3 linked regions of the Caenorhabditis elegans genome follow. The protein of the gene in region 2 interacts with the protein of the main gene of each other region in a pairwise test. Each region holds a gene or a part of one and is shown on either strand. Other genes may lie near its edges. The genes, in order: C03D6.1, ncl-1 and nrde-3.

Evidence for each region.
Region 1: the proteins of ncl-1 (region 2) and C03D6.1 interact in a two-hybrid assay, tested with the Caenorhabditis elegans proteins (one large-scale study listed by BioGRID).
Region 3: the proteins of ncl-1 (region 2) and nrde-3 interact in a two-hybrid assay, tested with the Caenorhabditis elegans proteins (one large-scale study listed by BioGRID).

Annotation. Positions count from the first base shown.
Region 1 is NC_003279.8:9,668,872-9,672,626, forward strand, and holds the start of C03D6.1 (Piwi domain-containing protein), read right to left. Parts: upstream 1,856-3,755; 5' UTR 1,845-1,855; coding exon 1,783-1,844; intron 1,738-1,782; coding exon 1,626-1,737; intron 1,578-1,625; coding exon 1,377-1,577; intron 1,228-1,376; exon of another isoform or gene 1,140-1,227; coding exon of another isoform or gene 959-1,139; intron 913-958; coding exon of another isoform or gene 686-912; intron 631-685; coding exon of another isoform or gene 550-630; exon of another isoform or gene 544-549; intron 304-543; coding exon 1-303. Other genes in the region: rsl-24D1 (putative ribosome biogenesis protein RLP24), read left to right, coding at 550-630, 686-912, 959-1,139.
Region 2 is NC_003281.10:7,718,041-7,721,795, forward strand, and holds the start of ncl-1 (RING-type E3 ubiquitin transferase), read left to right. Parts: upstream 1-1,750; coding exon 1,751-1,776; intron 1,777-3,755. UniProt on the Caenorhabditis elegans protein: Translational repressor that inhibits protein synthesis.
Region 3 is NC_003284.9:370,383-374,137, forward strand, and holds the start of nrde-3 (Nuclear RNAi defective-3 protein), read left to right. Parts: upstream 1-1,852; 5' UTR 1,853-1,871; coding exon 1,872-2,130; intron 2,131-2,176; coding exon 2,177-2,354; intron 2,355-2,403; coding exon 2,404-2,683; intron 2,684-3,031; coding exon 3,032-3,642; intron 3,643-3,694; coding exon 3,695-3,755. UniProt on the Caenorhabditis elegans protein: Transports small interfering RNAs (siRNAs) from the cytoplasm to the nucleus. Required for RNA interference (RNAi) in nuclei. Required for exogenous RNAi-induced H3K27 methylation.

The sequences.
Region 1 (3,755 bases), on a different chromosome or scaffold from region 2:
ACTGGGAAAAAATTTAGTCCACAGTCCAGCTTTGTTTTCAGCATTCCAAAGAGGTTCAAGAAGAGAAAATCGATGATTACGAACTCTAATTGTTATAAACATGTTAACAATTAAGTTTTGAAATTCTTCGTTTGATTGGAAAATTCCGTCATCTTGAAACAAATAAACGAGTGGTTCCGTATTTTCTGGTCGCCATGGAGCCAATCCAAATGCAAATCGAGGATTCCATTCTGGAAGATTTGATGCAGTCTCTATATATGTTGATATTTCTTCTTTGAAAGCTGTGAACTCTTGATGTTCTACCTGAAAACTTACGATTTCTTCTTTGGTACATGATTTCCAATTTGAATCACCGCGCTTTTATCACCGACGCAAAGTGCGCAAGCAACACTCGCTGGCGCCTTTCTCTCCCTTTGCGCATAAGGCGATCGCTTTTTTATTTTTTCGCAATTCTTGATTCTAAACTAATTTTGTTACTTTTCAATGTTCTCACTGTCCAATTTCACCGTATTTTGCGTTAATAAATTATTTTATCAATTTTAGGTAACAATGCGCATTGAAAAATGCTACTTTTGCTCGTCTCCCATCTACCCGGGACACGGAATCCAGTTTGTCAGAAACGATAGCACAGTAAGAACTATTTAAAATAAAATTAGTTTACGAACTGTTCAATCAATCTGTTTAGGTGTTCAAATTCTGCCGATCCAGATGTAACAAATTGTTCAAGAAGAAGAAGAACCCAAGAAAGCTTCGTTTCACCAAGGCTGCGCGTCGTGCTCGCGGAAAGGAGCTTATCAACGACGCCACACAGCTTCTCGAACAGCGCAGAGATGAGCCTGTCAAGTATGAAAGAGCCATGTTCCAAAAGACCATTGAAGCTGCCAAAACGATTTCCGCATTGAAAACAAAAAGGTAAATAAAAATAAATTTATATCAAAAAGCAACTATTATTTTTCAGATATGGTAACCTGATCAGAAAACGTCTGCAACCAGGAAAGATTGTACAGAAGAAGGGACTCCTTGCGAAGGTCGACAAGAAAATGCATCTCATCCGTGCTCCAGTTGCAAACAGAGATGGTGTCAAGACAAGGGCGGCAGCAAAAGAAAAGAAAACCGCAGAATCGATGGAGACCAATTGAGTACCCAATTTTCTTTCTTTTTTTAAACTTTTTGTTATTTGTTACTTGTTGTTCTACTCCCGCTTTTGTGAATACACTTGGATTTACGATTTTTTGGAATTTCTTGTTATATTCACTACTGGACAGGAAAAAGCGTTTCAACGAAATACTAGGTGGTGGTAAGATTATTGGTCAAGGCCGCAGTTGTGTTCAAATTGAAAGATGCAACGTTCAAAGTTATTTTAATAGGAAACGTACCGTTGATTGTAGATCATCGCGAACTTGATCTCGGAGCACAATAATAAAATCAGGGAGCACTTCACGATGGGATCTGAAGTCTTCAATTATCCACCGAGTGACTCGTCGAATCAGCGCAGGATCAACATGCGGAATGGTGGCCTTTTGGAAATGAAAGTACTCGGTAAAATGATCAGGACACGAGGTTCCGTTGAATGTGAACTGGAATTACATCGAATAGCAAAGAGTTGAGCACAAAAATGTAATTACCACAACTGTACTGGGATTATTGTAGACCCCAGGTGTACTTGGATCCACAGTTCCATGATTTATAGCATATCCTATAAAAAGCGTATTTGTCTCTGGCCCCCGCAAGCTTCTCCTGAAATTAAATTAAGAAATAGGTATTTATGAGCTAAAATCTCACATATACTGGTGAGCATTATTTCTTATATCTGGAGCCACATGTCGCCTTCTTCTTAATGCCATCATTATTCGGACTGAAAATTTTGGAATTTCAGAAATCACCCAACAAAGAAAGTTTATAAGACAAGGTACACGGAGAAACAGAAGGAGAGATAAAAATTGAATAGCCTAGAGGTTTCAATGACATAGACATATATACACATACACACTGATCAGAACATTCTTCTTCTTTTTATTCGTTGTAGAGGAAGTTTTGACGTCGACGGATGGATGAGGACGACCGCGTGGGGGCTGTTTATATCACTATTTGTGTATGGAAGAAGCTGATATGATATGGTAGTAATATTTTTGCATCTTGAAGATTGTTCTTCCGATATTTTGGCGGAAAGTCCTATTATCATAGTTCTGATGGTTTTTTGAAACATCCGCCTGAAGGCGCATGGATTTATTCAGATAGGTCTCGTCGCGAGAAAAATGTTTACTGTAGGTTTCCTTTTATTCGACTTCCCTATTGCATTTTTTTGTTCTCAAGCACATTGAAATTCTTAACAAAAATCGAGAAAAATCGTTAAAACAGCTAGAAATTTGTTTTGAAAAAAATCTTAATAGAAAGGAAAATAATATCAAAATCGGTGTGTCTTTAAGAAACCTTGTTTCAGAAAATTACAATGTAATTTTTTAAATCAAAATCTGCTTTCAGTTTCCCATTTCATCTTTTTCTCTCTCTGGACATGATTATTCACAGAATGTTTTTATTTGCAAACTCTCGCCGCGCTTTTTTAGGTTTACTGTAGATGAATTAAGTTTTATTTTTTATTGGTTTATTGTAATTTTTGGTCACGAGTTGAATTCGGAAAACACCCAACATTGTAAGTGAAGTTTCCAGTAATTATCGTTTTTGAAAAACTATAAAACACAGAAAAAGAAGCCGGAAGTTTCTATAGGTATACAGTAAACATAAAGACGCATACACAGATCGTTTTCGTAAAATTCCCGACGAGACCTCATTCGAATAAATCCGCCTTCCTTAAAACTTATAGAAGTTCGTGTATTTAATTCCACGTTTCTTCAATGATACTGTACCGCGAAAAGGGTGAGATTTTTCATGTAGACACTCTAAAGTGATAAGAAAAATCAAAGAAGGGAGTCTAAATGCGTGGACAATCATTAAAGATTCTATCTTTTCGGGGGCTGCTGATCGAGAAAAGAAGTCTACGAGAAAAAACTGTTTGGCAGTCATTTAACAAATTCTCTCATTAATTTAAATATGTATATCAATTCAGTGATAAAACAACGTATTGCGACAAACTATAAATGTAATAGGGGGAAAAGTCACGTGGTGTCGTTTTGATATGATATGATGTGATATGGATAGCGAAATAGAAAATGAAAATGATGAAGGGACAGGGGTGAAAAGTCAGAGGAATTCCGTGGAAGGAAAGGGGAAGAACAATTCTTTATCAGTTTTTGGGAATCATTGTGTCAGGTCGAATTGGGGGACGGTTTCATTGTTTTCTTTTTGATAGTCTGCTCTTTGACCTGAGAGAGAAACCGCATGTCAACCAAATTTTGCAAAAGTCTTAGAAAATGAGTACGGTAGATTGTTTGAATGGTTTTTCATACTCGGTAGGCTCTTCAATATCGTGAGCAATGAACGTTGAGTTGAAAAAATTATGTATGATCCCTAAATGTCACCTATTTTTGGACATGAAGTATCGGCCAAGAAATAATCTTTATAGGTTTTCTAATTGAGCATAACTCAAAAACTAGTTAGTTTTGCAAAAGAAGTTTGTCAGCGAATCTTCTGTAATACATTAATTATTTTTCGAGTTAAAATTATTTGAAAATTTTGAAAATGACCAAAAAAAATCCAGGAACGCTTTCTAATTTTGGTAGGTACTGTATATGTAACCCTATCAGAAAATGTAGACAAAGAAACTTTACGGATAGCCTAACATTTTAGTCTGTAGCCTA
Region 2 (3,755 bases):
GGCAATTCTGTAATTCTGAGATTATCGAGTTCACAATTAGGAAAAGTGATTTTCGTGGGAGAATTGAAAGTTCACCCATCTCTCTTTTTGAAATTATTACTTTAAAAAATTAATAATGTTTGATAGTCAATAAATTATTATATAAATATCGATAATACGATAATTGCCGAATTTCTTCTTTTTTTTCAAAACGCCCTCTAACCTTCACATAAATTTTCTACAGTAATCTTTTGCACATGAATTTTCAAGAAGTGAAAATTTATATGAATTGTGGATTGCCAAATTAAAATTTGATACGATTACATTTTTATAAACTTTCACAATTGGTTTGTTTTAAAAAAATAAGTTTTTCTTGATTCTCTAACTCCTCTATTAGATCAATGATCTCTTAAAAGTGACCGCCCGTTTTCCACCCCAATTCCTCATTCCCACTCTTCTCCCGCACACGCATACATACCGCCCATCTCTATCTATCACATTCTCTCATTTTGACACACTGTTTCGTATGTTGTTTGTTCCAAAAAGTGTGTGACGGGTGGAAAACTGATGTGGAAATAGTGTCTTTTGCCCCTCTATCTTTTTGAAATGATAATAACTTTTTTCGAGAGTTTTTTGTTTTACTTTTTATTTTTTGAATTTTGATCGATTTGTATAAGTTGTATCTAATCTTGATCTAGATTTAACAACATTCATATTTCCCGCCAAATGAATTTTTAGGCCTAAAATTGTTTCCTTGGCAGCAGAATGTGTAGGCCAAAAAGTTATATAGAAAGATAGAGTTGACTCTAAAAAATTTTTAAAAATTAAAATTGTTGGAAATTATTATAATTCGTTAAACTTCAAACGGCTTCTAAAATTGTCACAATTGTGTGTGGGAAATTTAATGTGTTAGGGAAAACATTTTCCGCGCAAATTTGTCAAGATTAATTTTAGCATTTATTTGAATGATTTGCAGAATTTAAAGTTCGAGCTTCTCCGCTTTGCACTACTGGGCAATTCACTGAGCATAAAACCGCGCTTGCACGGTTGCTCTCCCCTTCCCGCCTCCACGCCTTTAAGAAGGTAGAAAAAAAATATAATCAAAAAAAAATATACAGCAACGGTTCAATATAATTGTAACACCGAACAGCGAGGCGGGCGATAGGAAGGCGAGGAAAAAGGCGCCATGTCGCCTCACCCTGATGGATTGCCAAATGGTAGTCAATGATGTTTGCATAATTTTCTTGATTCGTGGTATTTACCGAACTTGTACATCATACTTCACGCGAATTTTTGAAAATTGGTATCAAGATGGACCCTTCGTAGTTTGTCCCACATTCGTGTAAAACTTTTCTAGAACAAGACAATTTAAATTTCGTCCAAAAACCGAAACTCTGAAACAAATCTACCCAAAAATACGAAGTAAAACCAGTAGGAAATCATCAAAGTTCTGCACTGTTTGCACACAGTTTTCAATTTTTCCTCAATTTCCCTCTGCGTCTCTGACCATCTCTTAACTCTTCTTCTTTTCCCACTGTCACTTGACTTTTGTGATGTGACACACATATTTCCTATACGCTTCCCTCTTTCACCCACAAAAAGTTTGAATTCTGTAAATGATTTTTAGATCTCTTCCGGAACACTTTCAAACCGTCGATTTCAAATAACTGTTTCATACTAAAAGTTGAGGGAAATCTTGATTTAATTTCAGAAGCCTGCTCTACACCTGCTCTTCAGAGGAGATTCCACAGAAAGCCTCATCCAGAAGACAATGATTCCGTATCTAGAAATTTGCAGGTCAGTTGTTTTATTCAAAAATTAAACAATTTTAAACAAAAGGTTCTGACTATTTTCTAGTCTGCGTTTTATTCTAAAGTGTAATGTTTCCTACTTTTCCTAAGTCTCTCATTGTTGAACCTTCTTAATGATTTACTAGCTTCAAAAGAACGAAGCTCAAGGAACTGTTATACACAGTTTCAGAATTAAAAATAATCTAAAAATCGACACGAATTAAATGAGATCCTTCACAAGGAGAATAAACTGTGGGACGTCCGTCACATGTTCTGTTAAAAGTGAATTTTACTGAATTGGATAGATATCGAATCTATAAAAATCAATGTGTTAAACTTTTGCAAGTTTCAGTTTAAAATCAAAAATAAAAAGCTTCTCAAATAACGCTCTGTGGCAATAATAATTTTGAATATTCAAACAATTTCAAGGATAATAGGAACTTATTAAATATAGTTTCCCAGTCTCCTAGTCAAAATACGATTCACCCAATTTCCCTGACCACTTTCATAAAATTAGCCGAAATTGTTGTAGTGTAGGCAGTGATTTTTTCTGCTGCCTCAAAACGTTCAAGGAGTACTGTAGGTTTTTCATTTTCCGTACCGCCTGCTCTGTCAAAAATCCACATTAAGTGTTGATAAAATCGTTTTTATCAACGCGTTTTTTGCTGATTCCAACAAAATATTATGATAGCAAGAATGCTTACTTTTTTTTTCATTTTTCAGTTTAGTTCCTTTTCTTCGGCGAAAATGTAAATTTTGGTAGCTTCTCAAACAATGTTTCTGATAATTTGTACGTAGGGTTCCTACTCGGCAAAACGGCCTAACTTCATAGCATACTCTTGCAACTTCTTAAGAACAATTAGGCATTTTAGCTTTTAAGCAAACTTCTGCAGCTTTTCAGATGACTTTTGCAATTTCTTAGCAGATGTAAAGCTAAATTTCGCTCACAATCCCGTTGGTTTTCGCAACTTCTTGACAGCTTTTTACAAAGTTATATGAATGTTTTTATTAAGTTGCAGGAGTTTGCTATGAAGTTGCGACGTTTTGCCGAGTATAGAGATCATTAGAAGAAATGTGTATTGTATCCATTAATATATATATTTTTAGTTAATCCTCTCTAGTTTCACGAGAAAATCTGCTCAAAAAAAGGTCAAAAAACGGCGGTGATGCAGCCACATGACTTCTCTTCAGTTTTCTCTAGTTTCTCTTTTCGCATGGCTCAACAGAAGCCCATTGGGTCATTTTTTGCGCCTCTCTTTCTCTCCTCCAATCGCCACGCGTCTTTTGTGTCGTTTTCATGTGACTCTGGACGGAGGAGAGCACCGATCCATTTTTTTGATTGGAATAGGGGTGAAGATCTTGTGGTTGGGAGAATCTAGTTTGGTCGCAATGTTTTTTTTTTCAAAAAACTTTTGTGAAGCGTTCTAGAAAGCTTACTTCTGATGTGATGTTTCTATATTTAAAATCATAAAACATAGGTAGCCTGTAATATTTTCATAAATTTATTTTTGATGCAAAATGTCTTTTAACAATTTGAACTTTAAAAAACCCGTTTAAGCGATATATGAAAGCTCTCGCGCCTCCGTGGAACGCCTTGTTTCTAATTACAATTTAAAGCCTCTTTTAAAATAATTGAAAATCACAGCTTCTCCATTTTCCTCCTCAGTTCAATCCAGTTCGCTTCACCACTCCAAAAGTCCAAACTAAATTTGAAAATAGCTTTTGAAACCCAGAGACTCTAGAGAATCCGTCATTTTTTGTCCCATTTTTTTCGCACTTTCTGCCTAGAAGGTGGGTTTCGACCATTCATCATATTGCATAAAACAACTCTCTCTCTCTCTCTTGTTTGTTTGCCATTCCGATGCAAACCGCCCGTTCCTCTCGATGTGACGAACTGAATGAGAGAACGGCATAGTTAGTGTATGTGGCAAACGAAAACGACAATTCTTTTCCCCTTTCTCCAGCATTTTTTTCGCCCAATTCTCC
Region 3 (3,755 bases), on a different chromosome or scaffold from region 2:
TCGCCATTGAAAAAAACAAGTAGAATAATCCAGTGGGAAAAAAGTTGAAACAATTGAACCACTTTTTCAAAAATCTAAAGAACCGCCGCTGAAATAAAATATTTATTTTTAGTCCGAGTGAGTACATAATGTATTGTTTCTATGTAGTAGAACTGAAATCTTTTCATTTTTTCCTGAAAAATGTGTCCTCAAAAAAACTTTTAAAATGTTAAAATATCAAAATTCTATTTTATATTTTTCCCTTATATTTATATTTTAAAAAAAGTAAAACTTTGCCGTATTTCAAAAATTCTATTAAATTTTACACTTTCAATTTCTTCCAATAGATTGATTGACCGGAAAACTGAAATTCTTAAACTCTACGCAACCTGCGTCCGCTGTAGATCAGAGTAACAATCGAGCAATAAAATAAAAACTTTTTCTGTTTGCGCTGGCTTTTTGTAATCTTTTTGCACTTACTTCTAACATAATTGCAATCATTTTTACAATTTTATTGACGGACTCGCTAAGATACTGAAATGAAATTGTAGATTTTTCAATAATTATGCATTTGGATCAGGGGTGGGCAGCAATTTCTGTTTGGCAATTTTTTTATCCACATGTTTATTTTTTAGTTTTTATCCACAAACCGGCAATTTGCCGGTTTGCCGATTTACAGGGAATTTTCATTTTTGGCAAATTGCCAATTTGCCGTCGATCAAGTTTGCCGGAATTGTTTAGAGTAATTTTTTCAGAAGACGGAACTACTTTAAACTTAGCCTTGTTGAAATTTTATTCCCGTTTTCTCTTGATATTTTTTATAGGATTTGCTTATTTTTCAGAATAGATTTAGGAACATTCACAGGATACAATTTTGCCGATTGAAATTAAAATATTGAAATTTCAAAAAAAAAAAGTGCAAAACCACAAAAACAATTTACCGAAACTGTTCGGCAAATTTGGCAAATCGCCCATTTGCCGGTTTATCGATTTTCCGGAAATTTTCAATTCCGGCTATGTGCCAAATCGCCGGAAGTTTCAATTCCGGCAATTTTCCGATTTGTCGGAAAAAACAACGATTGCATTGAGAAACCACTCCCGCAAAAAATAATAAAAAATCTTGAGTACTAAGTTTGTTGCAGATTGTGGAGTGTGCAGGAGTTGCTCCAAACTAGACAAAACTCCCGAAAGGCTAAGATTGTAGCAAAAATCCCTAATTTCTATGAAAGAATATGTAGGAGTTTCTCTTTACGCAAGAGTTTCACTTCATTTAGGACTTTTTATTTTTGCCCGAGCATGAGATCATGAGAATTCCTACCGTTCCTCGTAGTGAAGGGACCTGCGTTTCTATTCGAAACATGCTCCACGGCACTTCGATATTTCGCGCCAAACCGGTAAGCATTATGACGATCTCATGGTTTCTTATTATTCATGTCTTCGTTAACGATCAGCGATGAAGGAGGAGTCTCCCCGATAACCGATCGATACGTTTATTCCGCGTTGCACCACACACACTCGTCTGTTACACAGTTCTTCATCTGGTGCGCGCTCTTTTTGATCGATCATACCTGCGTACGCATTCACCCTACACCCTCTTCCAATACCATTGCACACTAACCTCTTCTGTGCGCGCGCTCTGTTATCTTGCGCAAGAGACACATCTCACCCTCTCTCTTTCAAATGCCTTTGAATTTAGTTGGTGTTGCCTTTCATTCCTTTGCTGTGCGACTGTGCTGACGCTGTTTTTCTATTGATCTCTATTCTAAAATATAATTAACTAAATTATAAATACACAAACTATTCTTCTATTTTTTCTCGCTCTCTTTTTTCAGTTTCTTACATAAAATTTTCAAGTTCATAAAATTTCTTTCAGGTAATTTGCACAACTAATCATGGATCTCCTAGACAAAGTAATGGGTGAGATGGGCTCTAAGCCAGGCTCAACTGCCAAAAAACCAGCCACATCTGCGTCATCCACACCACGTACAAATGTTTGGGGCACTGCAAAAAAGCCATCCAGCCAACAGCAGCCACCGAAGCCACTTTTCACTACTCCGGGCTCACAGCAAGGATCTCTTGGAGGTCGGATTCCAAAAAGAGAGCATACCGATCGCACAGGTCCCGATCCAAAACGAAAGCCACTGGGAGGATGTGGGTTTTTTAGCAAGCGAAATTTGCACATATAATTGATTTTTAGTGTCGGTGCCGGATTCATTCAATAATTTTGGTACGTTTCGGGTACAAATGAATGCTTGGAATTTAGATATTTCTAAAATGGACGAGAGAATTAGCAGAATAATGTTTCGTGCCACATTGGTTCACACGGATGGACGTCGCTTTGAACTTTCTCTTGGCGTTTCGGCATTCTCCGGAGAGTAAGTGTATTTCTTTTTCATATTATATACAATTAAATGAATATTTTAGCGTCAACCGTCAACAAAGACGTCAAGCTCAATGCCTGCTCTTCCGGGCATGGTTCAAACGAAATCCTGAGCTGTTCAAAGGTATGACTGATCCGGCAATCGCTGCATACGACGCTGCGGAAACTATCTATGTGGGATGTAGCTTCTTTGACGTCGAGTTGACCGAGCACGTATGCCATCTGACAGAAGCTGACTTTTCGCCACAAGAATGGAAAATCGTTTCTCTCATCTCACGTCGGAGTGGGTCGACATTTGAAATTCGCATCAAGACAAATCCACCAGTGAGTTTCTTGAGCCGTCTATATCTTATCGACGCTGAAAATTTGAAACAGGAATTTTGACTTCAAAAGTTCACAAAAAGTTACCAATGAAGACGACTGTAAAAACATAAGTCCTGAAAGCACGGTATGACAACGTTTTCAGATTCTTAACTCATCTTTTAGCGTCTTTTCCTTTTGTATTTTGGCTGTCCCCGAGAACTTAAAGTGAAATGTTTGGGCGCTCTGATTTGAGCAAATTTCATGTTGCAGTTTTTATTTTTATTTAAACGGCTTCTTTTCAAACTACTACACAAACCTATATAAAAAACATGTCATTCTCCTTTTTATTTTTTCAAAAAAAAATTACAGATCTACACGCGTGGACCAAACGCTTTGACATTGGAGAACCGTTCTGAGCTAACACGTATCATTGAAGCTATAACAGACCAATGTCTTCACAATGAGAAGTTTTTGCTCTATTCGTCGGGAACTTTCCCCACGAAGGGGGGCGATATTGCCAGTCCCGACGAGGTTACTCTGATTAAGTCAGGATTCGTGAAGACTACAAAAATTGTGGATCGGGACGGTGTACCAGATGCAATTATGACCGTTGACACAACAAAATCGCCATTCTACAAAGATACGTCTCTCCTCAAATTTTTCACTGCCAAAATGGATCAACTTACAAATAGTGGTGGAGGACCCAGAGGCCACAATGGTGGCAGAGAGCGTCGCGATGGCGGCGGGAACAGTAGAAAATACGATGATAGACGCTCACCGCGTGATGGTGAAATTGATTATGACGAGAGAACTGTCTCACATTATCAAAGACAGTTTCAAGACGAACGCATTTCGGATGGTATGCTGAACACTCTCAAGCAGTCTCTCAAAGGATTGGATTGTCAGCCGATTCATCTTAAAGACTCGAAAGCCAATCGTTCAATCATGATAGACGAAATTCACACCGGAACAGCAGATAGGTCAGTTTCTCCAAAAACACTTTTATGCGTATATAATACTAACAAATTTCAGTGTCACATTTGAACAAAAACTTCCCGACGGAGAGATGAAGCTCACTTCCATCACAGAGTAT